Medicago truncatula: one gene and its partners. The protein of the gene in region 2 interacts with the protein of the main gene of each other region in a pairwise test. Links are inferred from orthologs where the notes say so. Each region holds a gene or a part of one and is shown on either strand. Other genes may lie near its edges.

Evidence for each region.
Region 1: the proteins of auxin-responsive protein IAA30 (region 2) and auxin response factor 5 interact in a two-hybrid assay, tested with the Arabidopsis thaliana proteins (2 studies listed by BioGRID). The link is inferred for Medicago truncatula from reciprocal best matches to the Arabidopsis thaliana genes IAA30 and MP.
Region 3: the proteins of auxin-responsive protein IAA30 (region 2) and protein ABSCISIC ACID-INSENSITIVE 5 interact in binary tests that used the Arabidopsis thaliana proteins (3 or more experiments, as listed by UniProt). The link is inferred for Medicago truncatula from reciprocal best matches to the Arabidopsis thaliana genes IAA30 and ABI5.
Region 4: the proteins of auxin-responsive protein IAA30 (region 2) and probable WRKY transcription factor 21 interact in binary tests that used the Arabidopsis thaliana proteins (3 or more experiments, as listed by UniProt). The link is inferred for Medicago truncatula from reciprocal best matches to the Arabidopsis thaliana genes IAA30 and WRKY21.

Annotation. Positions count from the first base shown.
Region 1 is NC_053042.1:7,849,105-7,857,100, reverse strand, and holds the start of auxin response factor 5, read left to right. Parts: upstream 1-4,936; 5' UTR 4,937-5,094; intron 5,095-5,234; exon of another isoform or gene 5,235-5,479; 5' UTR 5,480-5,504; coding exon 5,505-5,607; intron 5,608-5,725; coding exon 5,726-5,838; intron 5,839-5,979; coding exon 5,980-6,078; intron 6,079-6,176; coding exon 6,177-6,233; intron 6,234-6,339; coding exon 6,340-6,492; intron 6,493-6,577; coding exon 6,578-6,662; intron 6,663-7,035; coding exon 7,036-7,126; intron 7,127-7,400; coding exon 7,401-7,565; intron 7,566-7,656; coding exon 7,657-7,779; intron 7,780-7,878; coding exon 7,879-7,954; intron 7,955-7,996. UniProt on the Arabidopsis thaliana protein: Auxin response factors (ARFs) are transcriptional factors that bind specifically to the DNA sequence 5'-TGTCTC-3' found in the auxin-responsive promoter elements (AuxREs). Seems to act as transcriptional activator.
Region 2 is NC_053042.1:42,203,168-42,210,107, forward strand, and holds auxin-responsive protein IAA30, read left to right. Parts: upstream 1-5,064; 5' UTR 5,065-5,205; coding exon 5,206-5,387; intron 5,388-5,469; coding exon 5,470-5,657; intron 5,658-5,755; coding exon 5,756-5,855; intron 5,856-6,075; coding exon 6,076-6,136; 3' UTR 6,137-6,405; downstream 6,406-6,940. UniProt on the Arabidopsis thaliana protein: Aux/IAA proteins are short-lived transcriptional factors that function as repressors of early auxin response genes at low auxin concentrations.
Region 3 is NC_053048.1:49,355,484-49,363,381, forward strand, and holds the start of protein ABSCISIC ACID-INSENSITIVE 5, read left to right. Parts: upstream 1-4,841; 5' UTR 4,842-5,108; intron 5,109-6,951; 5' UTR 6,952-6,978; coding exon 6,979-7,898. UniProt on the Arabidopsis thaliana protein: Participates in ABA-regulated gene expression during seed development and subsequent vegetative stage by acting as the major mediator of ABA repression of growth.
Region 4 is NC_053042.1:35,168,860-35,176,540, reverse strand, and holds probable WRKY transcription factor 21, read left to right. Parts: upstream 1-4,583; 5' UTR 4,584-4,830; intron 4,831-5,252; exon of another isoform or gene 5,253-5,256; 5' UTR 5,257-5,272; coding exon 5,273-6,084; intron 6,085-6,185; coding exon 6,186-6,311; intron 6,312-6,944; coding exon 6,945-7,089; 3' UTR 7,090-7,370; downstream 7,371-7,681.

The DNA of each region.
Region 1 (7,996 bases), about 34 Mb from region 2:
TTTCAATAGTTTCACATATATTTTTATTCAAAAAAAAAAAGTTTCACATATATTTAAAAAATTAATTCACCGTTAAAATATAGGTTAATTTTGATAGGTGTATAAAGTTTATAACATCTCTCGACAAAAAAGAAATTATAACATCTAATTCATCAACATTCTAGAAGTTTATTATAACAAGTCTCAAAATAATTTATAAATTTTATGTAGAATTTTTCGTTAGGGAAAGAAAAAATTGAAATGTTGAGCTAATATAAAAATATAAAACGGACTTATAAACAAAATCTTCATAAATGTAACTCAATTTGTAGAACATCTTATTATATATATATGATTTGAGGTTTAAATCCAAAATACTCTACGTATTTATTTTTGGAGATCATTTGATAAAAATAACAAATGAATCAAGTGTACAATGGTATTGTACATTGTGATGCTCTAGCAATTTTGCCAATTGTTGACTATGACGTTAATGGTAGTCTCACCAACTCGCCACATATATCTGCCAATTTTCAGGAGTGCTGCATCATTATTATTTCTCATTTATTTTGTTTTGACTCAAATGATCATTTTTTTTCATTTATTTCATTACATCACATCCATATAAAAGTTAGTTAAGATCCTATACATTTACCCTGCCTTTCTTCATTTCTTCCGTTTAAAAAGATAAAGACACGTAAAATTTAAAAAAAATTAAAATATAATTAATGATGGTGCAATCCACTTAATGATAGGATCCACAATCTACTATCTTTGTTCCTTTTTAATTGTCACATTTTGACATTTTATACAAACCAAGATAATCAACAATTGATACTACTTTTGATGCAATTAACTATACTTTTACTATAATGACCTTATTCATTTAACATTTATTTCATATATTTCTCTCTCCACAATAAATAACTAAGAACAATATTGATAAAACAACATCTAATGTTGCATTGAACTTTGAAAGTGACAGTTAAATAGGAACAAAAATTTTCTCCAAAAGTGACACTTAAAAAGGAATGAAGGGAATATTTTTTGTATCTCCGAATTGCATACTCTATTTATTTTGCCAAATGGATAGGATCTTACCATGAAAGTTGGGTTTAGAGTTTAGTCCAAAACATACTTAAAATGCAGTTTTTGTCCTGATTTTAATTTCTTGATTTGTAAATATAAAAAAATCGGGTGGCATTTCACATGGGAAAGGCCAATCCTTTCCTACCATGGGAAAGTTGGATTCAATGATTGGATCAAGTGAAGAACATATTCTTATCATGCTCTTTCAACATTAGATTTTTCTTCACACTATATACCAACAATTTTAAAAATTAATTTCCAAAAATTAAAAAAATCGAAAAAAATTCAGATATTTTTTTTTAAATTCTGTAATTTATTTATTGAATGTTAGAAAAAAATTTGAAAAATTGAAAATTTATTTATTTATTTTTCAATAAAAATAAAATTCTGGAAACTAAGATAAGTTTTTATTTTAGTAATAAAATGAGATATTCTGAAAAATAAAATAAAAATCCTTTTTTTTTTTTAAATTAAAGTTTTTTATTTTTATAATTAAATAAAATTCTGGAAAATAGTTTTTTTATTTTCAAAAAATATTATCTAATTTTTTGTTTTTATACTAAAAAAAAGTTTTATTTTGGAAAAAAACTTTTTAGAATGTTAGGAAAAAAAAATCTGATCCTTTTTTAATTCGGAATGGTAGTAAAAGTGTGTGCAAAAATCTAGTGTGAAGAGAGTATGATAAAATTGTTTTATTTATTTCATCTAATAGTTAAATACCAACTTTTCCATTTGTGAAATTGTCTTCGTCTCTGCCTCTAAGATCATCTCCAATTAGGATGTATGGATGTTTAAGTTGATAAATCTGCACTTTAATTTTTCAACCATCATGCTGCAAAATCGATAACATATAAATCGTTGAAGTATTTATATAAAATACGATATTATAAAATAACATTGAATATAGTAAAACTACCTGGTTTAGTTTGGATTTTAGAATGTGTTTCTTGTAAAGTCTTGTTTTGATTCTTCTTGTTCTTAGTTTTGGTGGATCGGTTTAGCTTTTTATTATTATTTTTTTTTTAAATAAAACATTGAATATAACTTAAAAAAAAATACTTCATCTGGTCTCGAATATAAGAAAACATTCATTTTTTAAGTTCATTAGATAAAAGATATATGTGATTTATATTATAGTTCAAATATATTATTTATTGAATGAACTTTAGAAAGAATTTTTTCATGTATTTGAGATCAGAGGGAGTATAAAACATGAGTTAATTAAGAGTTGTGTAATTTTTCTTTTTGTATTGGAGCAAAATAAGCATGATCCCATAAGTAAGATGTGCATTGAAGATCCAATTTTTTTAACGATAAAAATTATTTTGACAAATCGCACAATTAAAGATTATTTTAGAAATTCGACAATTTGAATGATTACTCGTTATCATTCAAGAACAAAAATGACAATTGTCTTAAATAAATAAATAGATGAGGTGTTCTTTGGTATCGATGTGATTTTAATAAAATCACAATAAAAGTTACTTCAATCAAATGCGTTATTAAAATTTGAACAATGATATTTGTGCATCATTACTTTCCATAAATCATTAAACACCTTAGGGTCTGTTTGGTAAAGCCATCAAACGAGCTTATAGCTTATAGCTTATAAGCTCGTTTGATAAAAAAAGCTCTGTTTGGTACTGTCTTTTCACCACGAGCTTATAGCTTATTTCACGAGCTTATAAGCTATTTTTCAGAAGCTATTCCAAGTAGCGTTTGAGCTTATAGCTTATAGCTTATCATCTTTTCTTTCATTTTTACCCTTATCATTTTAATTAAAACCCACTTTTACCCTTTATATATTAAAACACATTTATTACGTTTTCTATGTTTTTTTGTTCCTACGTTTCCAGTTTCTATATACTTCCAATTTAATTAGTACAACTCAACTACTCGAGTACTCTTCAAATAAAAAAAAACTACTGGAGCATATTTTTTGAGCATATTTTTCATATATTCATCTACTCGAACTTACTACTTTTAAGCATAGTTCATCATGTATGACGTTGAGATGTATGTTTTCAATGCTTTGTTACGATTTTTTTTTCTCTTGTAACAATTTTTGTTTTAAAATAAAATTATTTTTGAAAGAAATTTTTAAACTTGAATTTTTTTTGAAGTATAAAAATGGAAATGGAGTAAATTTAAAATAAAACTATAACAAAAAATTAATATTTTTTTGAAAGAGAAAAAATAATAATTTAATAATATATAAAATATATATTAAGAACATAATTTAATAATTTTATTAGAAATAAAAATGTCCTTTTATGTCATTTTACATTTATCAGCTAGTTTTACCAAACACTTTAATCAGCTTATCAGCTATCAGCCATCAGCTATAAGCTATCAGCTAGCTTATAAACTATCCGTTATTTTTACCAAACAGAGCCTTATTGTTTGTCTATCTTTCCTTTTCTATCTCGTTAACAATATATCATATCTATCACATCACTTCTTTTTATCTTTTTCACAAGATGTCAAATGGTTTTGGATGTACACCAATATTTTTCCTTCAAATTTTGTGTGATACACCATTATACCAAGTACTCACTCTGGTCACTATTATAAGCAAAACTCAACTTTCTAGATTCATTCAATAAAGGGTTAATATGCCTTTACCCCTGTAATATAGATCACTTTTGGTTTTGCCCCCTGTAAAATTTTCTTTTTGGAAAACCCCATAGGCTAGCTGACTCTGTATTTTCGTAGATGTGGCATGTTGCATCACTTTTTTTGGATGACGTGGCGCGCTGACTGTATAATTTTTTTTATGGGGTACACGTGGCATTTATGATTTTAAAAAAATTCTTAATTTTTTTTTTAAAAATGAAATAAATTCTGGAAAAATTAAAAAAATCTAGAAAATTTAATTTAAAAAATATGGAAAAATTAATATAAAACAAAATTTTCAAAAAAATTATAAAATAAAATCGAAAATATATTATTATAAAATTCTAGAAATTAATTCTGAAAATCAAAATAATTATATAATAATATAATTTCGATTTTTTTATAATTTTAATTTAATTCAGATTTTTTTATAATTTTTTTGAAAATTTCGGTATATATTAATTTTTTCATTTCATATTCTCAAAGGAGTAAAAATATTAATTAATGTATCTTTCTATGACATTTCATATTTTTATGTTACTTCAATTGCAAATTTAATCAGCTAACGTGTTTGTTATATGGTATATATGGTATGATGAAGTACGGACACTGACACGAACATCAGACACGACACGAACACTGACACATTAACACAAATAATAATTTTAAAAATGACATAATTTAGTATAATTATAGACATCATATCTGTGTCAAATATCGACACGTATCCGACATGAGGAGTTAGGACACACCTAATTCAAGAATGTCCCTACCTCATAGGTTATATGTTATAAAATCACCACCAAACCAACCAAAATAAGTTTAATACTTTTATAAGATCATCCATTATAAACTAATTTATAATCTATTCACAATTTTTACTAAATAGAGGTTATACATATACTAACTAGGGGTCCCAATGGTATATTAATTACCCTTGCTATTATATTTTTGTTCAGAAAAATAAATGTACTTGTGTTTATTCAGAGAATAATAAAATAATAATGTTTGTTGCAGTTGCAAGTACTTGATAGCGTGTAAGTATTGTACTGTTTCTGACTTCTTTATAGACACATTACATTACTTTTGCGTATATAGCTCTGCTTTCCCTATTTCAATTTATTAATAATATACTCTATTATTATTCTATACTATAGTACAGTACTATTCTACTAGTACCATTTTCTTTACCTCTTAATTATTTTTTTCATAAATATAAATACTATAATATAATAAAGCTGCAAGGGTTAGAAGTTGTTGTTGGAAGTAGCATGCACACTGCTTCTTGCTGTTTGAAGCAAAGAGAAAAAAGAGAGAGAATAGAAAAAAGTGCTTTGAGAATTGTAAAGAAAAAACAAAGAAAGAAGGCACTGTTTCAGAGTGTGATGTGATGAGTGGTTTCACTCAAAGGTTGGTTTCTTTTTTATATTTAAAGATAAATAAAAAACCACTCATTATGCTTTGATACGCGTGCTTTGATGCAAACTAATGAAAGTTTTTTATTTTTTCTACTTTTCTTTTTGTCAAAAGATTTGCACTTTGACCTTTTTTAGCAGTTTTTGTTCCTTAGTTCACTCTTTTTCACATTACTTGGATTGTTTTGTTTTTCTTAGACAAACAACAAAATGAGATTCTCATGTTAAGAATTTAAGAATATTAATGATGATGATCAAAATGGACCCTTGTTCTTGTTTTGTACTACCCTTTTGTTTCTTCTACTTTTCTCTCTCAAGTCAATACAAGTTTATTCCTCTTTATTGTGTTTGGTGGTGATGTTGCATGTTGTGAATTGAAGACTAAGATAGTGGTGAAAGTGGAACATGGCTTCCTTAGACGAAAAGGCTAAAAGTGTTGGAGGTGTTGTTGGTGGTCAAACTCTTGTTGCTGAAATGAAGTTGCTCAAAGAAATGCAAGAACATTGTGGTAAGTTCATGTTTCCTTCTCTTTTTCTTAATTTTTACAATGTTTATGTTATATGTTTTCTTAGTAGAAATTGAGATTTTGCTTTGATTGATATTTGGTTTTACTAATTTTTGTTTAGGGGTTAGAAAGACATTAAATTCAGAATTATGGCATGCTTGTGCTGGTCCTCTTGTGTCTTTGCCTCAAGTGGGGGGTCTTGTCTATTACTTCCCTCAAGGACATAGTGAACAGGTAACATTCAAACTCAAGAATCTCTTTTTTATGCTTTAACATTTGTAAGTGCTAGAATTAGCATGATTCTAGGTTTCTATTGAATGGTTGAAACATGTGTTGAACTTTTTTTTTTTTTTTTTTGTGTTTTGTCTTTTTAAGGTTGCAGCTTCTACTAGAAGAATAGCAACCTCACAGATTCCAAACTACCCTAGTCTTCCATCTCAGTTGTTGTGTCAAGTACAAAATGTCACACTACATGTAAGTAGTGTTCTCTCTTGATTTACCACTTTTTGCTTAACCACTCATTCAAACTTCAAATTATCATAACCCCTTTAAATTGTATGTTTTGATAACAGGCTGACAAGGAGACAGATGAAATCTATGCTCAAATGACTCTCCAACCACTGAATTCTGTAAGCTATATGAATTAGTTAGTTCTAGAATTATTGTTGTTGTTATTGTACATCTAAATGTTATTGGTTATGATTATTATTGATGTATTATTTTCCATTTTTTTAGGAAAAAGAAGTATTTCCAGTATCTGAGTTTGGACTAAGCAAAAGTAAACATCCAACTGAGTTTTTCTGCAAAACTTTGACTGCCAGTGATACTAGCACACATGGTGGCTTTTCGGTTCCACGCAGAGCTGCGGAAAAGCTATTTCCTCCATTGGTAAGGCTATATTGCACTAGGTGGTTGCAACCTTCTTTTATGGCTGTACAAGAACCCTCATTTGATTAGTGTGTTTTGGTTTTAGGATTACACAATTCAACCCCCAACTCAAGAACTTGTTGTTCGAGATTTGCATGATAATACATGGACATTTCGACATATTTACCGAGGTGAGGATGTTTTCTGCATCTATGTAGCACCTAGCATATACACTTTAGATTAATGGTGTGTCCGGTGTATGATATGTGTGTCAGAATCGGTCACCGACACATGTAGTTACATTCAATTTTTTTCACGTTTTCTAATTATTGTCAGTGTCGGTTTCATGTGTGGTGTTCATATCTGTGTTTCATAGTTCTACCATGTCTATTGGTTTGGTAAAATATATAGGAATAAATGTTTGTGGCCGTGGATTACATATTGTATTATTTTAACTGCAACTTTATACTTCCTCTTGGCTGATCTTAACCTTCAAAATATTTAGTCTTAAAAGAGCCTGATTGGGTTAGATCCTTACATTTCTTTCCTACATTTTTCATGTAGGTCAGCCGAAAAGACACCTTCTCACAACGGGTTGGAGTTTGTTTGTCGGCTCAAAAAGGCTTAGAGCAGGCGATTCTGTTCTTTTTATCAGGTAAAATTTGTTTGCTTCATTTTTGTCAAGTAGCTTCAACATGATACGAAACTCTGTTATTATCTGAATATAGGTAGAATAACTAGTGTGCAGAACAAAGTCTGCATAATCTTTCTAATTAGACTTGTTTTTTCTCCATGGTTACATTGCAATGTAATGGTTTTCAATATTGGGAAAATTGTGGAAGTCGGATTAGCAACTTATTATTTTAAATTCTGACCAATAATCATCTTCACATAATTTAATACTAAGTGTGATGTGTCATTGTTACAAGGGATGAGAAGTCGCAACTGCGAGTTGGTGTAAGGCGTGCTAATCGTCAACAGACAACACTGCCATCATCCGTACTTTCTGCTGATAGCATGCACATTGGTGTGCTTGCTGCTGCAGCTCATGCTGCTGCTAATCGAAGTCCGTTCACGATTTTCTACAATCCAAGGTATACCTAAATATGTTTATACCTCACCTGACATTAAATATTTTTAGATCTAATCTTGGTACTAATATTGTCTGGAGTGTACTATTTGCAGGGCATGCCCTTCAGATTTTGTTATTCCACTAGCCAAATACAGAAAATCTGTCTATGGGACTCAGCTGTCAGCTGGCATGAGATTTGGTATGATGTTTGAGACCGAGGAATCGGGTAAGCGCAGGTAATTTCCTGAATTCTTCTGAACTGTTTTCTGGGATATGTGCAAACTCCTGAACTAACAAGAATAGTTGATATATATATATTTCTTCTTATTCTGCAGATATATGGGTACAATTGTAGGTATCAGTGATGTCGATCCTTTAAGGTGGCCTGGTTCTAAGTGGCGAAATATTCAGGTAGGTTAAGTTCTAGTAACCCCAGTTGTTAAGATCTACCAT
Region 2 (6,940 bases):
ATTAGATCAAACCAAGAACAAATCCTTACCATACTCCCTCATCACTAGATTTTGTAATTTTATTATTTTAAAACCATTTTTTAAAAACAAAAAATATATTTCGAAATTAAAATAAACATATAAAAATAAAAAATAAATTTAAAAATATGGAAATTAATTTTCCAAAATTTTAAAAAATATAAATAAACTTGTTTTCAAAAAATTTAATTATGATTTTCGAAGATTTAATTTTTGTAATTTTCAAATTTAATTATGATTTTCCGAAACTTTGAAGAATTCTCGATTTCACCTTCAGGTAAGGTTTTACATTTTTTTCGAAATAAAAAAATTCTAAAAAAATATGGAAATTAATTTTTGAAAATTATAAAAATTAAATCTTCGAAAATCATAATTAATTTTTTTGAAAACAAGTTTATTTCAAAAAGTTTATTTATATTTTTTAAAATTTTGGAAAATTAATTTCCAAAATTAAGTTTATTTTTTATTTTTAAATGTTTATTTTAATTTCGAAATATATTTTTTGTTTTTAAAAAATGGTTTTAAAATAATAAAATTACAAAATCTAGTGATGAGGGAGTATGATAAGGATGTGTTCTTGGTTTGATCTAATGATTAAAAACTAACTTTCCCATGATGGGAAAAATTAGTCTTTCCCATGCTAAACTTCACCTGTTAGTACTAATGAACATGATGATATCAATTGCAATATGTGACACAAGAAGAGTGAAGAAAATTGCATTAGATTAGATACTGAGATGGATCTAATAAATATAAATATGTGAAACAAAGGACTAAAATAAACATGAATTTATTAAAAATAGTGTTTCTTTGTACAATAAAGTAAACGTACGTACGTAGTGTACATTAAAAATAGTGTGTTTCTAACATGTGTTGTATTAAATGAAACTTTTTTCAATTATTCTCCTTTATATGTTGGTATCAAATCGAGTTGATTGCCTGTCCCCAAGACCCTTTCTCATCATTTTATAACTAAGAAAGAAAGAAAAAAAAACATTTTTTTCAGTGGAAGGAAAAGAAAAGACATTAATACTTTAATAGATTCACCTTTGTCACGCAGTTCACGAAATTTGACCATAATATTTTGTTCTTTATCATCTTCAAATTTCTGGAGATATATTACTCTTTTTTTAATAAATGGGAGATATATTACTCTAAAAACTATACTCATTCATAACTTAAATAGTAAAAACAAAATAAAACGACAAGAAAAAGAGAAATAAATATACACAACAACCTATCACAAATGTTTTGTCTGGTATAGTTAATTCTTGAAAAGGAGTGAAAGAACATATGTAGAAATTCTGTTCCCATATTTTCTACCCACTTCATGGCATTCATGGAGTACCCATCAACATGTTTTCTTTGGTACGTAGCAATATTTTTAGCCTCATTTCTACCGATACTTTTGTACATTTGGTCTCGGCAACCAAGGTCCCTCACGAGCAATACCATGATTATATATTGGTACTACATTGAACATTGATTAGATAGATTTTACTACCTTTGTATATTGTATGGTTTGATATATCAAATTATCAATATATGTGCTCTTGTCAATATGAATTATGCCCTTGAATTGACTCATTATATATTACTGGTCACACACCCTGTCTAACTATTGTCGATCACTTTTTTTGACAACAACTATTGTTTCTCTTGAACTCCTATGTCTCACAATAACGTCATATTTGATAATTTTATACGCATTAAAGAAATAAAAATAAATGAATTTTTATTAATCATCGGTGTATATTATTATCATTGATGAAATAAAAAACCATATTTATTTTCATTATCAAATACGACGGTTAACTAATTTTTTTTTTTTTTACTAATCATCGGCGTATATTTTCATTATCATCAATGTACGATACAAAAAAAAAATTATGATATTTTTTTTAAGGATAATTTATGACATTTTGAGTGATGCACATAATATTAATTAAACGATACAATTAAAAAAAAAAAGAGTTAAAACTACGTTAAAAGTGGATACCAACACTTCTTTTAGGAGGAAAATGTGATAGTTATTCTATGTTTTTAACTCAGGATCTGTTTGATGCGCATGATACAATAGAAACATGATATGATAAGAAACTGGATAAAAATAAGATACGATGATAATATAGAGATATATCCTGTGAAGCCCCGATACTTCAAAATGGATGACGTACCGTATCCCCTGCGTATCCTGCACCGATACCTGCCCGATACTTTCCGATACGTATCCGGAGAGTATCTAAATATTAAATTTTATTTTTTTAAAAAATAATTATCCGATACTTTCCGATACATCCCGATACGCACGGATACTTGTGTTTTTTTATATTATTTTGATTTCTGTTTTTTTTTTTTGTGTAAAAAATAAGAATAAAAACATTATATTACTATAATATATATATATTTCCTTTATCTTTCTTTGGTGCCAGTACGACCCACACCACACCACACAACCAATTGCATCTTTCCCTTTCTAAGAAATTAGGGTTTCAACTTTTTCTTCCAAAGTGGTCGCCGTCCACTTTGGCCACCGTCGAACTATCCAAAAGCTTGCTTTAAAGCTTCCTGTGCAACCTTGTTCTTCCTCCTGTTGTGAGAGAAATTTGAGTACTTTCTCTTTTATCCATTCTTTGAAAAGAAACAAAATGGATCCAAAAAGGGTAGAAGATTTGGTTTATGTGCATATTAATCTTCGACTATTGTCAAGGAAAGAATGTGGATATAAGAAAGGACAATCAAGAATGTGGGACATTAGAGGAGATGCGCATGAACCGCTTGATGGTGTTGGAATTGAGTTAGCAGAGTTGTCTTTGGATGAACCGGATTTGGAAGTTGATCTGTATCTTGATGATGGGAATGGAGGAGAGGAGATGTAAACGTCAGTTACTTGTTAGTGTTAACTCTTAGTACTGATGTGTTCTTTTTTTGGATATAGTGATTCTTTTTTGGATCGATATAGTATATCACTAACAAGTTCATTTTGGATATAGTGTAGCATTGATGTATAACACTGATGGTGCTCTTAATTTTGGTATATATTGCGTATGTAATTGACTAATGACCACTCTCTTAATCGTCAATATTATATTTATATTAATGTGCTACGAGTCTGGTTTCTTGTGTTTGTTAATATACTTGCATAATAAAAAAATGGTTATAATTATATAGTACATTTAATTATATAATTTTTTTATTAACGTATCTCAGCCGTATCGTATCTTGATTTTTGAAATTTTACCGTATCGACGTATCGGTGCAGTATCGTATCCGTATCGTATCTCGTATCCGGGCTTCACAGGATATATCATATCATATTTTTGGTGCACTTATGATAATAAACTTTATAGTATTATTTTTTCATTTCATTTGTTTAATACACACATAACAACGATATGATAAGATATATATTAGATTTAATAACAAAATTATCATTGTAAAACCAATAACTTCTTAAAAAAAAAATCAACTTTTCATATTTTTAATTGACAAAACCAACACATAAAATTAATTATATAGTTTTATCTCTCAATCACACAGACCCAAACTAAAACTAATTAAACAACGATTAAAACAAGGTGACAACTAGAGTACCCATGGAAGAATGGTGGGTAATTTATCCCAACCAATACACATTAGCCACATAAGCATATTTTTAAGTGATATTCATGAACTATCTTGACCCCACCAACAAATTGTTCATTTTCATTAGTTGGTGGGTAAATTACCCACCATTCTTCAAAGGTAATCTAGAAAAAACCTTAAAACAAGTTTTGGAATTGAAGCAATGAATTGCCTTTCGAAAAGGGTTTTGTTCTGAAAATTGGAAGGAACAAACTAGTCTCAATTATACACGGATGTAGAAGGAACAAAAAAATTGAGAACACAAGCAAAATGTTTTGGAAAAATTAGGAACACACAAATCGGGTTCAGACGAAGCATGCACAAAAGTGAGAGAGGAAAAAGGAAGGCACACTGCGAGAGAAGAAGAAGGAGGGCACAATTGGAGAGAGGGAGAAAATTTTGGTTGGAGTTTCAGAGAATATGAAGAATAGTGATGATAGTGTGTTTTGTTTGTGGAGATTTGTCTTTTCCTATCAGATTGCTAACCCTCCAAAAATTAAAGATAAAAATAACAAAGGACGAGTATGATTGAGTTAGAAATATATCTAATTTATTTTATCATATTGGTGCACCAAACATGCCATCAAGATATATTTTTCCTCCGGTCTCAAATATTCTTAACAATATATATATATTTTTAAATATAAGCAAAAGTCTACTTAACTACTATGTTTGATGTGATTATCCCAATTTTACACTTAAAAGTAAATATTGATTCATTTTCTAAATTCACTAATGATTGCAGTATTCTACACTTCACAAGAAGGATATAATCGGAAATAATGTCTTTTTTTCTTCTTAATTAATGCACTTAACCCATTTTCTTAAATGATGTTTTTCCCCCCTTACAAACAAGACCAAAGGAAGTACTACTAAAGTTAAACTTATGATTTCATATAAGATCTTGAACCCTTGATTTTAATATTTGAAGCCTGTTAACAAACTTAGCATCAGACAAATGCCAACAAATGTCTCTTAGGGCACTTGTTTAGATATTTAAAGCAGAATTTTTTTTCTTTGAAATCATGATCTCAACACATTAAAATTTCAAAAAAGAACCATTAAATTTTTACATAAAATTTTTAAATCATTTATTCTTTTGAATCCTTAACAAACATACTCCTGATTTTAAATTCTGATTAAAACAATTATTTATTGGATTTTTTTTTTAAGGATTTGTCAGATTGTTTATATTTCCTAATTAAACTCCAGATTAACGTATATTCTTTTGAGAAAATATGTTAAAGGATATGTTAAGATACAAAAAATAACCATATATTTTTTTTATACAGTTAATTATATTGTTAAATTTTCGTAAGTAAAAAAAAACACTCATTGCCCATAGTACACTTTATTTATTGACACCTATAATTGTCGGCTACCATGATAACATTTTTGGTCTACAAATTGCATAGGAGCAAGAAAAAAGAGTATGCTGGGTGGCGCTAGCTGCTGCTGAAAAAGTCCTCTTCATATCTTTCTTTCTTTATTATTTAAACCTTAAGGTGGCGGCTTATTCTTCTTACTACTACAATATTCTTTACCAAATTCTACATTTCCACAATGGGAAAAGGTTCCACTTCTTCTTCCTCCTCTTCCAACAGTAGAAGAAGGAAACATAATTCCTCTAATGTTTCATCCTCCATCACTCACCAAAATCCTGATCAACAACATCTTTTTCCTGATCTTAACCTTGGATTGAGCATTTCCACCACTCAACAATATGTTGATTATTCCACCTCAAGGTATGTTAAAGCAAAACATGAACCTTAAACTACTATGTTTGTGTCATCACTTTATTAAATTTTGTATTATTTATCATGTTAGGGGACATTGGCAACCAATTCAGCAACAAGGTGGTGAAGTAAATGACTGCAGTGATTACAACAGTGCCTTCTTTGTGAAGGTTTACATGGAAGGCATTCCAATTGGGAGAAAGCTCAATTTGCTAGCTCATAATGGCTATCATGAGTTGGTTAATACACTTGAACAAATGTTTGATACTACCATTCTATGTAATTACCATTCCCCCTCATTATGCATTTTTAATTCTTTCTTTGTTTGGTTAAATGAGTAATGATGGATTAATAATGTGACTTTGTTATTTCACCAGGGGGGACTGAAATGGATGGAGTGCAATCAGAGAGATGTCATGTGTTAACTTATGAAGATGGAGAAGGAGACTTGATTATGGTTGGGGATGTCCCTTGGGAGTAAGTTAACTTAACTATGACTTTTTCACAATTCAGCCACTTTAATTTTAGGTGAATTTGGCATAATTATGGTATTTTAGTGTGATTTTGACACAAGTTCATTTGGAAACTTAAACAAAATCAGTGTCGCCAAACCAGAAATCACAGTTACCGTAATTTTACCAAATTCATCGTCAATTCAAACACGTTCTTATAGAACATTATATTTTTGGTCATGTAGGATGTTCTTATCATCCGTGAAGAGGTTGAAGATCACAAGGGTTGATGCATTCGGGTTTTAATCAAAAGCATATATATTTGTTGAAGATCAAGCTTAGTCAAATGTAGTGAGACTCAATTTTAGTGATAAGAGATAACCAAAGTGATGATACTCTTAGATTATGTTTGAGGACTAGCAAGTGTGAGATAGTGAAAGAGAACAAAACCAAAATGAAGGGTTAACTAATTAATTTGTGATCCTTCATTTGAATATTTAAATTTTTGCAAAGTCCTTTAATATTAGGTCCATTTTAAATTAGAGAAGTGAACAAAGAAGTGTTTTGAAGGGTTATATGAGAAATTTAGTCAATTTTTTTATCCTTTTATGAAACTATTGAATAAATTTATATAGACACCATAAATACTTTTTGTCCACGCCTCTTACTTTACTTTATTTCAAGTTTCTAGAAGTCAACTTTTGGCTTCTATGTTGCCGACATAATCTCTCTATTGTTAAGATCTTGTTCCTCTCTGCACATTTCCACAAGGAAAATCAACAAACAAAAGGATAATTGCACAAAAATATACGAAGACACAGGAAACCAAGGTTGAAAATTAGAGCAGGTCATGTGCCAGGAATGAGGAGCAAAAAAGGGGACAAATATAAGTAGAAAGAATGTCGATAAAAGTAGTAAAGTAAATAGATGTCACGTAAATTAATTTTTTTTATTTGACAAATAATTTTGTCCCATAAAAATGTGGTTTTAAACTTGATCTATGATAGGTGTGTATGGAAGAACACTTTTTGTATAAAATACTAGTATCTTAAATTGTCATCATATTTAAAAAGATGGGAAATGCTAACCGGTGTCTTGGGACACTGGTTA
Region 3 (7,898 bases), on a different chromosome or scaffold from region 2:
CAAAGCAAATGCCTATACATAAGTTGGAAAAATAAATATTGAATTGTGATTTTTCTCACGAGTTTGTCCCTATTTATTACATATTTGTTTGTGCGGTGGAAGGAACGGGAATGCATTCCCCGCAGTGAAAATCTCTACGGTTTACTGCAGTGTCAACCCTAATACTTACTATTAAACACTTTATCTCTTCTAATTTTGCATTTAATTGTCTATGTTTTATTTTTTCAATGGTCATGATTTCACTAAACTCCTCAGTCACTTGAGATGATCCAGTCCAAAAAGGAACCACGAGGATATGGGTTTAATATAAACTACATTTTGTAGCTTTGATTTTTTCACCACAAAATTTGTCTCGAAACTTGAAATTTAAAAGTTTGGCCATATATCCAAACATATGTTTAATCGAATGCAATATATTAAGGGACAACTAGTTTCATACCGATAAAAGTCATTCAGGAGCACGTTTACATGGAGGAGGCGATTTGATTTGGTTCCAACTAGACCCAATAGAACGGAAAGAAGTCCCACATCATGCCATAAAGTTAAGAAATAGATTTATATAACTATTGAGGATTAGAGTAGAATTAGTTCGACGTTTCCGTTAAATATGTAAAAGTTATATAACTGTATATTATATTGGTTTGAACTTTTGATTAATACACCGATCAATCATATGCTTGAATACTAATTAATGGGCCTAGGCAGAAATCCCAATGTATTCTTTTGAACTTCTGTCTTAGTACATTTACATGCATATTATATGTATATGTATATGATGAATGATATGAAAAATCAAGACTGTTACCTTAAAACTAAAAAAGGAAATAAAGATATGAAAGTATCACAAGCTAAGCATAAGCATGTTGTAATTTATCGTAGAAAAAGAAGAAGCTTGTTGTGATTGAATAATGAACAAAATAAAGACAGACACAACGTCAAATATAACTAATTAACTAACAGAATTAATATACTAGTAACTAACAGCTAACAAGTTGTAACACCTCCCTCAAGATAGAATGTGGATATCCAACATGCCTAGCTTGTAATGCATATTAGAGATCCTATCTTATTTAATACATTACTTTTTTGATTCAGCAGTATTAGTGAGCTCAAGATTATTTAACTAAGGTTAATTAAGTTTTTGGTCCTTATAAACATATGCAGTTTTGTTTTTAGTCCCTATAAAAATAAATTACACTTTTTAGTCCTACAAAATTTTCTGTTAGTGTTTTTAGTCCCTGTTAAATTAAAATTTGTTTAATTATGCTTAAACTTCTTAATTTTTGAAAGATTTTTTACGTACATGTTTATAACATCTTAAGACACTTTTTTGTAAATTTTTTTTACTTTTTTTAACATGTAATGAACTAAATATGAATTTTTCTAAAAGGAAAATTTTCAAGATTATATTAATGAAAATTGGACCTAATAATAAAATTTTAAGTGACTTTTTTGCGGAGGAACTTTGTATAATATTCTAAGTAAGTATGTGAAAAATATGTTACAAATTTAAAAGTTTAAGCACAATTAAGCAAATTTTAATTTTACAATGACTAAAAGTATATGGTGGTCCATGTTAAACTGAAATTTGTTTAATTATACTTAACCTTTAATATTTTTAAATGATTTTTAACAAAAATGTTAAGAACATTATAATAATCTCTTTTATAAAAAATTAGAATTATTTAACATGTAATCGATAAAATATAATTTTTTTTTAAAACGCCAAAAATTTAATATAAAACTAAGAAAAATTTGGACCTAAAAATAAAATTTTTGAGCTAAATTATTGTGGCGGAACCTTTTATAATGTTTTAAACAAGTATGTAAAAAATCGTTAAAAAATTTAAAATTTTAAGCATAATTAAACAAATTTTAATTTAATAGGGACTAAAAATACTAACGGAAAATTTTGTAGGGACTAAAAACAAAACTGCAGATATTTATAGGGACCAAAAACTTAATTAACCCTTTAACAAATAGATATAGACCAGTTTGCCTCACAGTAAGTGCAGGGCGGCCGGTCCTTAAATTTTTTATGCTTTGGACGAAATAATAAAATTATGTCTTTTTAATCATTTTAATAGTTTTTTTCTTACATTTTTTGTTGCAAAAGATTCATTTATAATCAAAGTTTTTTAAAAATATATTTTCACTATAATTAATTAAACCGAATTAAAAAGAAATATATCTATATAATACTAACTATTAACTAAAATGTCCTCGTGAATTTAGCTCAGTTGATAAGGACAATGCATAATACATGCAAGGTCCGGGGTTCGAATCTCGACCACCAAAAAAAAAAAATACTAACTAAAATTAAAAAATTTAATGCCTCTAAAATAATGGTGCACGGGCTGCCGCCCCTTTCGCCCACCCTCAAGGCCACCCATGAGTAAGTGCTATATATGCACTCTGCTTATCTAGAAACGATATGGTTGTTTGCTTCCTATCATCAAATTCATGTGTGATTATTTCAATGTTCGTTTTAGACTTCTAACCATGTCATTTTTTTTTTAAACAAAAGTATCCATCTTCTTTTATCCGTTTATTTCTTATTCTTTAAATCTAAACTTCTAAATCTGAAATCCTTATAAACTCAAAATAATGAGTAATTCATCTCTAATATAACGTGTGAAAAATGAACATTTGATTGTTGTTCATCTCTAATTATGAAATAAAAATTATCAATCAAATAATCACAAAATATAACAAAAATTAGGCCAATAATAAAAGATAAACATAACTTAAAAGCTAACAACATAAACAAAATGTAATAGAAATGATCAGTTTAAGAAGAATTTCTTTTTGAAATATCAATTTGAAATAAGGTCAAACTTAAGGACCACAAACATAATTTTGTATAATTTTAAAATCTCTTATATTGACTTCTTTAGACAGAAAATAAATATGGTCGCTCAAACCTTAATTGGAGCAGCGAACTCATCCGCAGTGCTATCATTATATTTTGGATAATATTTATTTTAGTTCCTAAATGTATAAAGAGTAGTCATAATAGTCTTTTAATGTATCAAAATTTTAAATAGTTTCTTATGATGTATTTTGTTAATCGAAATAGACTTTAATGCTAAAATAATCGCTCAATACTCATAATAACTTTTTTCATATATAGACGAAAATGATAAAAATAAATAAATAAGTATTTATAAGGATTGATATGACAATAAGTAAGTATATGTATCAAAATTAACACAATATTTTAGGCTTAAACTCACTTTTTACCCCCTAAGTTTGCAAAAGTTGCAATTTTGGCACCCTATTAAAAAAAATGGCAAAAGCTACCCCCCATGTTTTCCCCCTTTTGCAAAATGCCAATTTTGACCGAGTCAACCATATGTGGCATGCCACATGTGTAAATTTTTAATTAAAAAATATTAAAATTGCCACGCGTGTATCTTTTGAATTAAAAAAAATCAAAAAAGAAAAAAAATGGAGAGGCACGTGAGTGAGAGAGTCTCTATGCTCTCTCTTCTTTCTTTTCCTCCCAATTCTTTCTTCCTCTTCCTTCTTTCCTAATTGCCGCCTCCCTCTTCCCTTTTTCCGGCCACTCTTTCCAGCCACCCAACGTGGTGCTTCCAACCATCCTTTGTCAAACAAAATACATAATATTTATTCACCCTTCCTTCTCTATCTCATCATAAGTTTATTTTTGGATTGGAGATATTTTGAGTTTTCAAACCACCACCTTCATTGTTAGATCTAGACCACCACAAAACGTTTTTCGATAAATTACCACAATAAAAGTACTCTCCTTCGTATTCCCTACAAAACCCACAAAAAATTATGCTTGGATGACATTTTTCCGACGACCACCACACCGGAAAACATCACCACCGCGCCGGAATTTAAATCTATTGTTTTCAGTTTGTTTTCCAGAAGCTACGCTTCTTATGACAGTTGCCGATGATGAACTGCTACATTTTTTCATGGATTGCTCCTCAATGTTGATAATTTTAATAATTTGCAAGTTTTGGTTAGGAAAGAAGGAAGAGGAAGAAAGAAGTGGGAGAATTTGTTTTGCAAAATGCATTCTTTCCAGCATTATGGACAAAAGAAACAACAATGGTGTTATGTTCATTCACTCACGTGCCCTCTCTTCTTAATTTTAATTTTTTATTTTTTTTATTTCTTTAATTATACATGTGGAATTTATGGATTAAAAAAAATAAAAAATAAAAAATAAAAAAAATACCCAAGTGGCATGCCACATATGGTTGACTCGGTCAAAATCGACGTTTTGCAAAAGAGGGAAAACATGGGGGGTTGTTTTTGCCATTTTTTTTAATAGGAGGCCAAAATTGCAACTTTTGCAAACTTAGGGGGCAAAAAGTGAGTTTAAGCCAATATTTTAATGTCTGAAACTTTTTTGACTAACGAAGTACACAATCATTAACTATTTTAAGTGGGGTGTCCGGGATTCGAACCCCGTCCCCTGCACATATTGTGCATTATTCCTTACCAAATGAGCTAAGCTCATGGGGATAGATGTATTCAATATTTTATTATTGATAAAATGAAGTGAAACATTTTTCCTCTCCGAGATAGTTTTGTTGTATCTTTTTTAACAAAAATATAACATGTAATAAAATATAGAGTTTAAAGTGTTTCAAAAAGGATTACATCGAAAACCAAAAATAAAATATAGGGTCCAAATAATACATAACAGTACTATTTTTATTTATTTAGAAAATAAAAATATAGAGATGATACGTGTTGTGCTAAAAATATGTCTGCAACCAAACAGGTTTGTAGAGACGACACTTGCCCTATACGTGGCAAATCATGCGATTTAACTCGGGAACTTGCCCTCTGAATTTTCTTCTGTCTATTGCGGCCTTTCATCCATTCTTTTTATTCATTTCTATGCCTTATTTTGTGGGGTACCCTTAGACGAAATGGACGAAGATAGTTACTAAATTTTTAGCTAATCGATCCTTATATATGCAGGTCTTTCGTTTGTGGAAAATCTTTTATATAATTTTAGCACACTCTTTGCTCACTATTCAGCCTCACTATCTTCTTAAGTAAGCTCTAAAACTTTTGACATTGAGACAAAAGGAGCTTAACATTACAACTTGCATTTCCAGGTATATTTCTCTCCAAAAGTTTGATTCAAAGGAAATAATGATCTCATCAATATACTATTTCTCTATATTTTGTTATATGCATGGAAACTTTGTGAACGTTTTTGGTTTGATTTCATTGGATTACCTATAATTTTGAACGTTAATTAGTGCAAGCATTTGAGTTTTTGAGTTTTGTAGTTTAGAGAATATGCTTTTATTTTATTTTATTTGGTAGATAGTTAAATATGCTATTTTGTTATTATAGATTAATTTATTCTATCTCTTCCTTCATTTGGCCACCAAATCATTTCCAAATGAGGCAACATTCTTTTCCTTTTGTGTACAAACATCAATCCTTTTCTACACCCACCAAATATTCCTCACAACTTAATTTATTATAGTTTTTCAACCGATCATCCAAAAACAACCCTTGTACTTTTAATGCATGTGAATAAAGAATCTTTTTATTCTCTAGAATAAAATTCAAGTTATAAGGTAGCTATAGGATCAAGTGCTTTTGAATTTGATAGTTCTTCTACTTAATGAAGAGTATAGAAAAATTAGTTGGAAGAGTAAATCAACTTTATGTGCCTAAGAATTGTCAACCTATAATTATATAAAATAAAATAAAAAACATTTTTAGCAGAAAAAATTATTTAATTTGATAAAATTTAACATTATCCCAAGTAAATTACGTTTTTTAAAATAATATGTTGTCATAAATAGATCTGAAGTGTGAAGTTTTCTTTGCACTGAAGCATTCTTTTTGTACCGAATAATAAAAGTAGTAGTTGCTTCGATATTCAATTATTCCATTGATAGAGCGATGGTGGTGCAGTTTCTGCTTACTTTTGAGCTGGTTCTGATCAAATATTGGATTTTCTATGTGAAATTCAGTGAACTCGAGAATCAAGACCAACAATTGATCATGTTTGGATAATATTAAATAATCTAAATTAGAATTAGAGGCATCTTGAAATGCACCCAAATAATAGAGGGAGTTGGAGGGGAGAAAAAAATAATCCAACTTATTGACACTGTTTTTTTTTTTTTTTTTTTTATATAAAAAGGAAAATGAATTGAGTGTGACATAGGTGTAGCCCCACCCCAAAATAATTTTACATATTTAAAACTCATAAAAAAAACTATTTATTTATACACTTTATAAAATTATTTTAAATTCGTATTGGTCCTCATGGCCAACAAAAGTTGGTCAAGTTGGTAAATAGTTGGCTCAGACTTTCTAAAGGGCGCGAGTTCAATTTTTTTTATTGTCAATGTAAGAATTTTGTTGACTTTATAAGGGCGTGAGTTCAATTTTTATTGTGTAAGAATTTTGTTGGTGGACAATTTATAAGTATTTTCTATGAACGCTCTTTCAACCTTGAGACTTGCTCTAATTTTGATGTCTTTTAGTTATAAAAAATAAATAAATCATCCCCAAAAAAGAAATTAAAATTTACAATTTCAACATTACTCAATACACCCTCAACAATTTCTCAGCATATTATAAGTTCTTATTAAATACATGACATAAGCAAATTGGCTGTATTGTAGTATTATTGTCATGAAGCAGTCCATTTTTTCATGCGTTGACAAAGGCATCTAACTTTTTTTTTTGAAAGAGACAAAGGAATCTAACATTTGTTAAGGTTCTTTGTTAACAAAAAGCTTATGTTGACTTATTTGTCGTTAACAAAGTTTTTTGTTTGATCAACTTTGCATTGATTTGAATTCTTGCATTCACAAATTATTGATGTGTTTTAAAAAGTCTTTTCATATTACATTGTATTATTAATCTAATAATTATGTTGTTAATGTGCTTTTTTGTTACGAGTGTTGACAAATATAATGTCTGGTGCAGTGCTGAAAATAAGACAAGCAGAAGAATATGGTGGTAAGAGAAGGTGAGATGAATTGGCAACAAGGGGAGGTAGAATCATTGCAAAGGGAAGGAGAAGAAGCGATCAGGAATGACGTCAACAATGTCATTTCTTCATCGCTCGGAAGGCAATCTTCATCCATATACTCACTCACCCTCGACGAGTTCCAACACAGCCTCTGTGATAGCGGCAAGAATTTCGGATCCATGAACATGGATGAGTTTCTAAGTAGTATTTGGAATGCAGAAGAAAACCAACAACAAGCTGCATCCAACAATAATAACAGCAACAACAATAACTTGTCTGCAGCTCAGAAAGGGATTAGCAAACAGGCAAGTCTTCCTCGCCAAAATTCGTTATCGATTCCTGCTCCTCTCTGCAGGAAAACTGTGGAACAAGTTTGGTCTGAGATACACAAAGAACAACAGAACCATCACAACATCAACAATGTTGCTCAGAATACCGAGTCTACCCCTCGACAGCCGACTTTTGGCGAGATGACATTGGAGGATTTCTTGGTTAAAGCAGGGGTAGTTAGGGAACAACAGTCTGGTATGCCGGTTGCCATAGCACCACCACCTACCGCAGCAGCAGTGTCATCTCACCGGCCGCAGCAGCAGCATTACGCCGCAGTGTATCCGAACAACAACTCTACAATGGCTCAGGCTGCTTCATTTGCTATTGGCGGCGGCGGGAATCTAAACGTTGTTGCGCCACCGTACCAAACGGTGGCACAGGGAGGTGGAGCAGTTGGAGAACCTTCGAGTTCAGGGTATGTTGGGAATGGTAAGACGAGAGATAGTATAGGTACGGGGTATCCTCCGCCGCCGCCAGCTATTTGTTACGGAGGGAGAGTGGTGAATGGAGCAGCGGGCGGTTATGGCGTGGCAGTGGCACAAACTATGGGAATGGGCGGACCTGTTAGTCC
Region 4 (7,681 bases), about 7.0 Mb from region 2:
TAGACCAATGGTTTGATCCGATTAGAAGATACCTTGTGGATGTTGCAAAGGTATACCAATCATAATAAAGAGATGAAGTCCAAGAAACTTGGGGAAATTATGTCTCGATCACATGACAAAGGTTATTTTTTCATGAAGAGCGAAGTTGTAAAGTGTAAGGAGTCTCAAACGCATGTGTCCCGCTTGTAAGTCTAGTGAGCAACGTGCAAAATGAAACATAGTTCAAATGTGTTAGCCTCAATCATGTGCACGACATGCGTGCTTTTGTGTGCAACATGCACATTTATCATTTAGCGAGACGCGCAACGCGTGTGATGTTGTACGGGGTGCGCATGTATAATGTAAAATCCGATTTACTTAAGCAAGCACTCGCCTAAATAGAAGGGTTTCAAATTTTGACGATCCATAGACATAAAGTGTGATGTCATTGACCTAAAGTGGAAATTTCCATCCCTTGTCAACAAGATTGAAGACCTTTGCTATTCTATTTGTGTGTGTAGCTCTTTAACCTTTTGATTATGTTGTTTATTAATATGATAAGTAGCTAAACTCATTAGATTTAGATTTAATGATGAACTTGTATGATATTGTTTGAACCATATAATCTATAAGTCCTCTGTTAAGGTAATTTGAACTATGCTTCTTCATTATACCTTGTGGTTATATGCTTTCATTGCATGATAAACTCTAATTGATTTTAGCTTAAAATATGGTTTTAGTCCCTGCAAATATGCCTCGTTTTTGTTTTAGTCCCTGGTAAAAAAAAAATTGTTTTTGGTCCCTGTAAAATTTTTTGTTTTTGAAAATAGTCCCTCCAGGGACTATTTTCAAAAACAAAAAATTTTGCAGGGACCTTTTTTAAAAATAAAATATTTTGCAGGGACCAAAAACTATAAAATTGGTTCAGTTATAATGTGTCACGTATGCAAATCATCACAAAAGTGGGGTCAGGGACTATTTTCAAAAACAAAAAATTTTGCAGGGACCAAAAACAAATTATTTTTTTACCAGGGACTAAAACCAAAACGAGGCATATTTACAGGGACTAAAACCATATTTTAGCCTTAATTTTATGTTGTAATTCATTATTACCACTAGGTCTTGTAACCGGAACTAGGCACAATGTTCTCTAACTAATTTATATAGATATAGGGAATTAATTAGTGCGGCTAATATATTAACGCTTAATCAAACTTTTGATAATATCAATTTCACCTAAGAAATTAGAGTTTTATATTATAGAAACCGTACCTTGAACCAAGAATTTGATCTTGGTCTATTTTTTAAATTGTCATGAGCAAAGGTATCAAATTATTTTTTTGTTTAGGACCTAGCATTACCAAGCAGGAACATAAAGAGGATTCAAACCATCTTAAGCTCCTGTCATCATTCTGAATTAAGTATTTATTTAATTTGATCTGCAAACCAACTATGAATGCAAACACCTCCATTTTAATTTTTAAATAAACATAGTTTAATTGCCTATTAGAAACAACAATTCATGTGGATATGAATCTCTACATATATTATTATTTGACGATGCATTTAGTACATTTGTCAAATAAGTCCATCAATAGGCTAAGTTGACTACATTAGTCTACATCAAGTCTAAGTCAGGCCATACTTCTTTGAAAATAGACAAGATGAAGATTATCTTTTATATCAAACAATAATAACTTAAGAAATCACAACCTTAATTGTAATCCTATACACTTCAAGTCTAAGTCAGGCCATACTTCTTTGAAAATAGACAAGATCAAGATTATTTCTTATATCAAACTCGTCGAACAATCAAACAATGATAACTTAAGAAATTACAACCTTAATTGTAATCCTATACAATCACAACCTATCAACATGTTTATGTATGTGTTGATTTAGTTTCACAAATTTTTTGAATTTACATTCATTATATCGTGATGCATGTAACATACTTTACGCGGCTCTAAAAAAAAATGTAACATACTTTAAGCATGTTGGTTCAATTTCACAAAATTTTGAACCCAGATTCATTACACAATGACATATGTGACAAATTTTCAACGCATGAATGCAATGTCACAAATTTATGAGCTCACGTTCATGGATTTGAGAGAGAGGGGGGGGGGGGGGGGATATCAAGTGAGAGATAGACATAACTTGATGAAGGAGGGAGAAAGAGACAATGAGGGGAAAGGAGAGGATCCAATCTCGATTTGCACATTCATCTCACTGAAAAATATATAACCGTTTTAAAACGTATTCACAAACAAATAATACTTGAAAAAAATTCAATAGTATAGGCTAAGCATGACTATTACTATTTTACCAATTTCTAAAATATTAAAAGTTTAAATAAGAATTCATACTATATTTGGCTATAAATATAAAAAGAAATATCAAATGTATTTTGTTTGAAATTCGGTCTAAATATATTTGACTATTTACAATGACCTATGATTTTAAGTGTGTTGGTTCAATTTCACAAAATTTTGAATCCACATCCATTACACACTGATGTATGTGATAGGTATTGAACACGCCACAAAGTTTTGAACTCACATTCATCTCACTGAAATATATGTAAATGGTTTTAAACACATTCACAAACATATAATACTTGGAAACAAATTTAATAGTTTGGCTAAACATGACTACTAATATTTTACCAATTTCTAAAATACTAAATAGAGAAGTTTAAATAGGAATGCATAATCTCTTTTGTTATAAATATACGGGGGAAAATCAAATGTATTTAGTTTAAATTCGGACTAAATATATTTGACTATTTACGGTGACCTATGTAACAAGTTTTAAGCGCGCTAGCACAATTTCATAAAATTTTGAACCCATATTTTGAACGCGTGTATTCAACATAATAATTTTTTGAACTCACGTACATCTCACTGAAATACATGTAACCGATTTTAAACGTGTTCATAGAAAAAATTATTCACTAGTATATGAAAGGCATGACTACCAATATTTAGCCAATTCTTACAATATTAAAAAGAGAAGTTTAAATAAGAATTTATAATCTCCTTTGTTATAAATATACGGGGAAAAATCAAATGTATTTGGTTCGAAATTTGGACTAAATATATCTGACTATTTACAGTGACATGTGTAACAGGTTTTAGGCGCGTTGGCTCAATTTCATAAAATTTTGAACCCATATTCATTACATTGTGGCGTATATGGAAGATTTTAAATGCGTGTTTTCAACATAATAAATTTTGAACTCGCATTCATCTCACTGAAATACATGTAACCGATTTTAAACGCCTTCACATACACATAATACATGGAGGAAAAAATTCAGTGGTATGCTAGGCATGACTACTAATATTTAGCCAATTCTTACAACATTAAATAGCAAAGTTTAAATAAAAATTCATAATCTCTTTTGTTATAATTATACGGGAAAAAATCAAATGTATTTGGTTCGAAATTTAGGTTAAATATATTTGACTGTCTGCAGTGATCTATGTAACAGGTTTTAAGCGCGTCGGCTCAATTTCATAAAATTTTGAACCCGCATTCATTACTTTGTGGCGTATATGGTAGATTTATAACGCGTGTTTTCAACTCATTGAAATACATATAATACATGGAGGAAAAAAAATTCACTAGTATATGTTAGGCATTACTACCAATATTTAGCCAATTCTTACAATATAAAACAGAGAAGGTTAAATAAGAATTCATAATCTCTTTTGTTATAGATATACGGGAAAAAATCAAATGTCTTTGGTTCAAAATCGGGTTAAATATATTTGACTGTACATAGTGACCTATGTAACAGGTTTTAAGTGCGTCGGCTCAATTTCATAAAATTTTGAACCCGCATTCATTACTTTGTGGCGTATATGACAGATTTTAAACGCGTGTATTTAACCTAATAAATTTTTGAACTCACATTCATCTCACTGAAATACATGCGTGTAACCGATTTTAAACGCGTTTACAGCACATAATACATAGATGAACAAAATCACTATATTTAGCCAATTTCTAAAATACTAATTAGAAAAGTTTAAATAAAAATGCATGCACTCTTTTGTTATAAAAAAAAATACGGTTGGTTCAAAATTCATATTAAATACATTCGACTTTTTACTTTATATTTAAAATTGATTAAAAAAATTAACCTTAGCCCATTCAAAATTTTGTGAAAGAAATTAAACTTAACCAGTTTACTAGTTTACTCCAGTCAAGATAAACTTACTTTTGAACATTGAAAGAACACATCATATAAGGTAAATCCAAAACTATTTTTTTTTTAAGGAAGGTAAATCCAAAATTTCAAACCAATAAAAAAAATCAGAAACACAGTGTAATAAATTGAATCAAGAAGTAAAAGTAGTAAAAGTGAAGCTGAAATGGGTAGGTCTAAAAAAATATTAATTAAAGCTGAAACAAGGGAAGAAAAAGAATAACAAAGGTCTTCATGTCGGTCCCACCTTCAAATCTGTGACAGAGACAGCAGTTTCATTTCTCAAGCTGTTTCTCATGCTCTCTCTCTCTCTCTCTTCTTGTGTGTGTTTTTTTCTTATTTAAACTCTTAACTCATCTTTTTTTCCCCTCTCTCTCTCTCTCACTAGAGTATAGCTACAAATATAAAATTGTTTTATTTTTTGCTTGTTTCTTAGGACTTTTATTTATAAATGTTTTTAGTCTAAAGTTAGAACCTTTGTATTCTTATGTGTGTGTGTGTGTGTGTGTGATGGTTGTGTGAATTCTCAAAGAAACCAAAGTCCTCTCTTCACACCTTCAATCTCAAACCCATGGAAACATCAACAACAACAACAGCAACAAGATTCTAGGGTTTGACAACACAAGTTCATCAAGGTTTGTCTGCACTTTGATATTTTTTTGTTGGTTTTTTTTGTCACATGAAAATTGGGTCTTTTTTTATTTTTTTTTATTTTTTATCTTTGGTCTTTTTAATGTAATGTTGAAAGGCACTATTAGTTGATTCTGATTCATGGGTCTTTTTTGTTTCAAAAAAAAATTCAACCTTTATCTTCTTATGAACTGAAATTTTGTAACTTTAACTAAAAATAAAAATCCTATTTTTGCGGTTCATTGTCTGGTGAAAAATGGGATTTTTTTCATCTGGGTATTTTTATCTTCCACATGAGAATCAATGTCTGATATATTTGTGGATAAATGAGATGCTTTCTTTGTGTTTTGGTGTGTTCTTCTTTTGATTTAGGGACTTAGTTTTTTTTTTTTTTTTAAATATTTTTATTTTCTGAATTTTGTTATAGATAGAAAGAGAGAGGCTAAAATGGAAGAAGTTGAACAAGCAAGCAGAACAGCTGTTGAAAGCTGTCATAGAGTTCTAAGTATGTTGTCTCAACCAAGGGATCAAGTTCATCATAGGAATTTAACTGTTGAAACTGGTGAAGCTGTGAATAGGTTCAAGAAAGTTGTGTCTTTGCTTCATGGTTTGGATCATTCAAGAGTTAGGAAGCTTAAAAATCTTCAAAATGTTCCTTATCCTCAAACTGCTTTCTTAGACAACCCAAATTGCAAAAGAAACATCATCAACCATCACACCAAAAATGTTCACTTTACTCAAACTACCTATCCTCAAAATTCAGTTCAGGAACTTGGTTCAACCCTAAGAAATCCACTTTCTCTTGGAAACCCTTCTTTGGAATTGAGTTCGAACGGGAAAAGTCCGCTTCACCTTGCTCAACAAGCTGCATCAACTCACTATCAATTCTATCAGCCGCAGCAACAGCATCATCACCAGCAGCAGCTGCAGCAACAAAGGTTGTTGATGCAGCAGCAGCAACAGCAGCAACAAATGAAGCATCAAGCTGAAATGATGTTCCGAAGGAACACCAGCGGCATAAGCCTTAATTTTGACAAGGCTACTAGCAGCACACCAACAATGTCGTCTACTAGGTCTTTCATTTCCTCCTTGAGCATAGACGGAAGCGTAGCAAACGTTGATGGAAGTTCCTTCCATTTGATAGGAGCTCCGATCTCTTCAGATCAGAATTCACAGCACAAGAGGAAATGTTCTGCTAGAGGTGATGAGGGAAGCTTGAAATGTAGTAGCAGTTCTAAATGTCATTGCTCAAAGAAAAGGTAATTCTTATGGTTGCTACATTAATGGTTAATTTCTGTTACTTTAAAGGTTTAAGAAACCATTATAATATCATATTAATAACTTTATGTGTTCTTGACAGGAAGCATAGAGTGAAGAGATCAATTAAGGTGCCTGCTATCAGCAACAAGCTTGCGGATATCCCTCCTGATGATTACTCGTGGAGGAAGTACGGGCAGAAGCCTATCAAGGGCTCTCCTCACCCTAGGTATGCCCAACCGTTGTGCCATTTGAGATTTAATTTTATTGATTCAAGGAGCAAATAAATATGAATGTGTTGTGATAAACAATAATTTTATAAAACTTCTGAACTATTTCGTTACGCTGCTTGGTGTACATTTATGATTTTATCTTAAAGTATGTTGACATGATCTGATTGATGTACTAGCCTGTGGGGATTTAAATAATTTTGGTCTATGTGTGGATATGTAATATGTTGATTGGAGTTCTGCTAATATATTCCTTTGTCCATGTTTGTAATTTGTTCTTAGTTGGTATTCTGGTTGATGAGTACGTTGTATAGAATTTAAGTCGTTGAGAAGGTCCTTGAATGTTTTTATGCACTGTCAACTTGTAGCTCTTCATTTTTTCATTACAAATATCATATTGACAGTTCCATTTGTTCAATAGCCCCTTTTTTTTAACTTGAAAACATGTTTGAGAAATCAATTTGGCAATTTTGATATTCTAGGTGTAAACTCAATCTTAACCTTAGTAGCAAAATTTATGCTTCATTATTTGCACATTATTGTCAATTAAATGAAGGTGAAATGTGAACTACAACTCTACAAGTTTTATGTGTGATGAAACTGATTGTAATCTCTTAATTTTGTTTCTTCAGGGGCTATTATAAATGCAGCAGCATGAGAGGCTGCCCTGCTAGGAAGCATGTTGAGAGGTGCTTGGATGAGCCTACTATGCTAATGGTTACCTATGAAGGCGAGCATAATCACGCCAAGGTACCAACACAACCTGCAAATGCATGAACTACATGGAGAGTCACATTCAATTTGTGAAGACCTCTATGTGATTGGCTTGAGATGTTTCTGTACATATTTCAAGTGATGCGAGCAGGACTGCAGATTTTGCCTTTTGGGTAGCTTGGTTGGGGAGTCGTTTATTTAGAGGGAGTGATGAAGATCACTGGTTAAGTGCAGGAGTATGTAAAATTGGATAGTTTCAATTCGTAAGAACAATTTTATTTTTCTTAAGTATGTCATTAAACATTTCAGGGTTCTCTAAATTAATGGAAATTGTCTTTGGAAAATGGCTGAGTTCTTTCAATTTTGTTTTTCGAATCAAGGCTCTAGCAAATTGATTGTCGTAGTGATACATCACAGCAATTGATTCTAGTAACTATAAGTATCACATAATCTAAGTGGCATATACATAGTATGGTTATCTTTGGGTGTTAAAACAGCTTAAGCTAGTTGTTGCGTTTGGAAAACATACTTTCTATAGTGTTATTGCTGCACATTCAATGTGAAGCTTCCTTTTGTAGAGGTGTGACATACAAGGATATATTATTGCTGCTTCACGATGCAGCGGCTGTGAAGGATTAAAATATGTATGTGAATG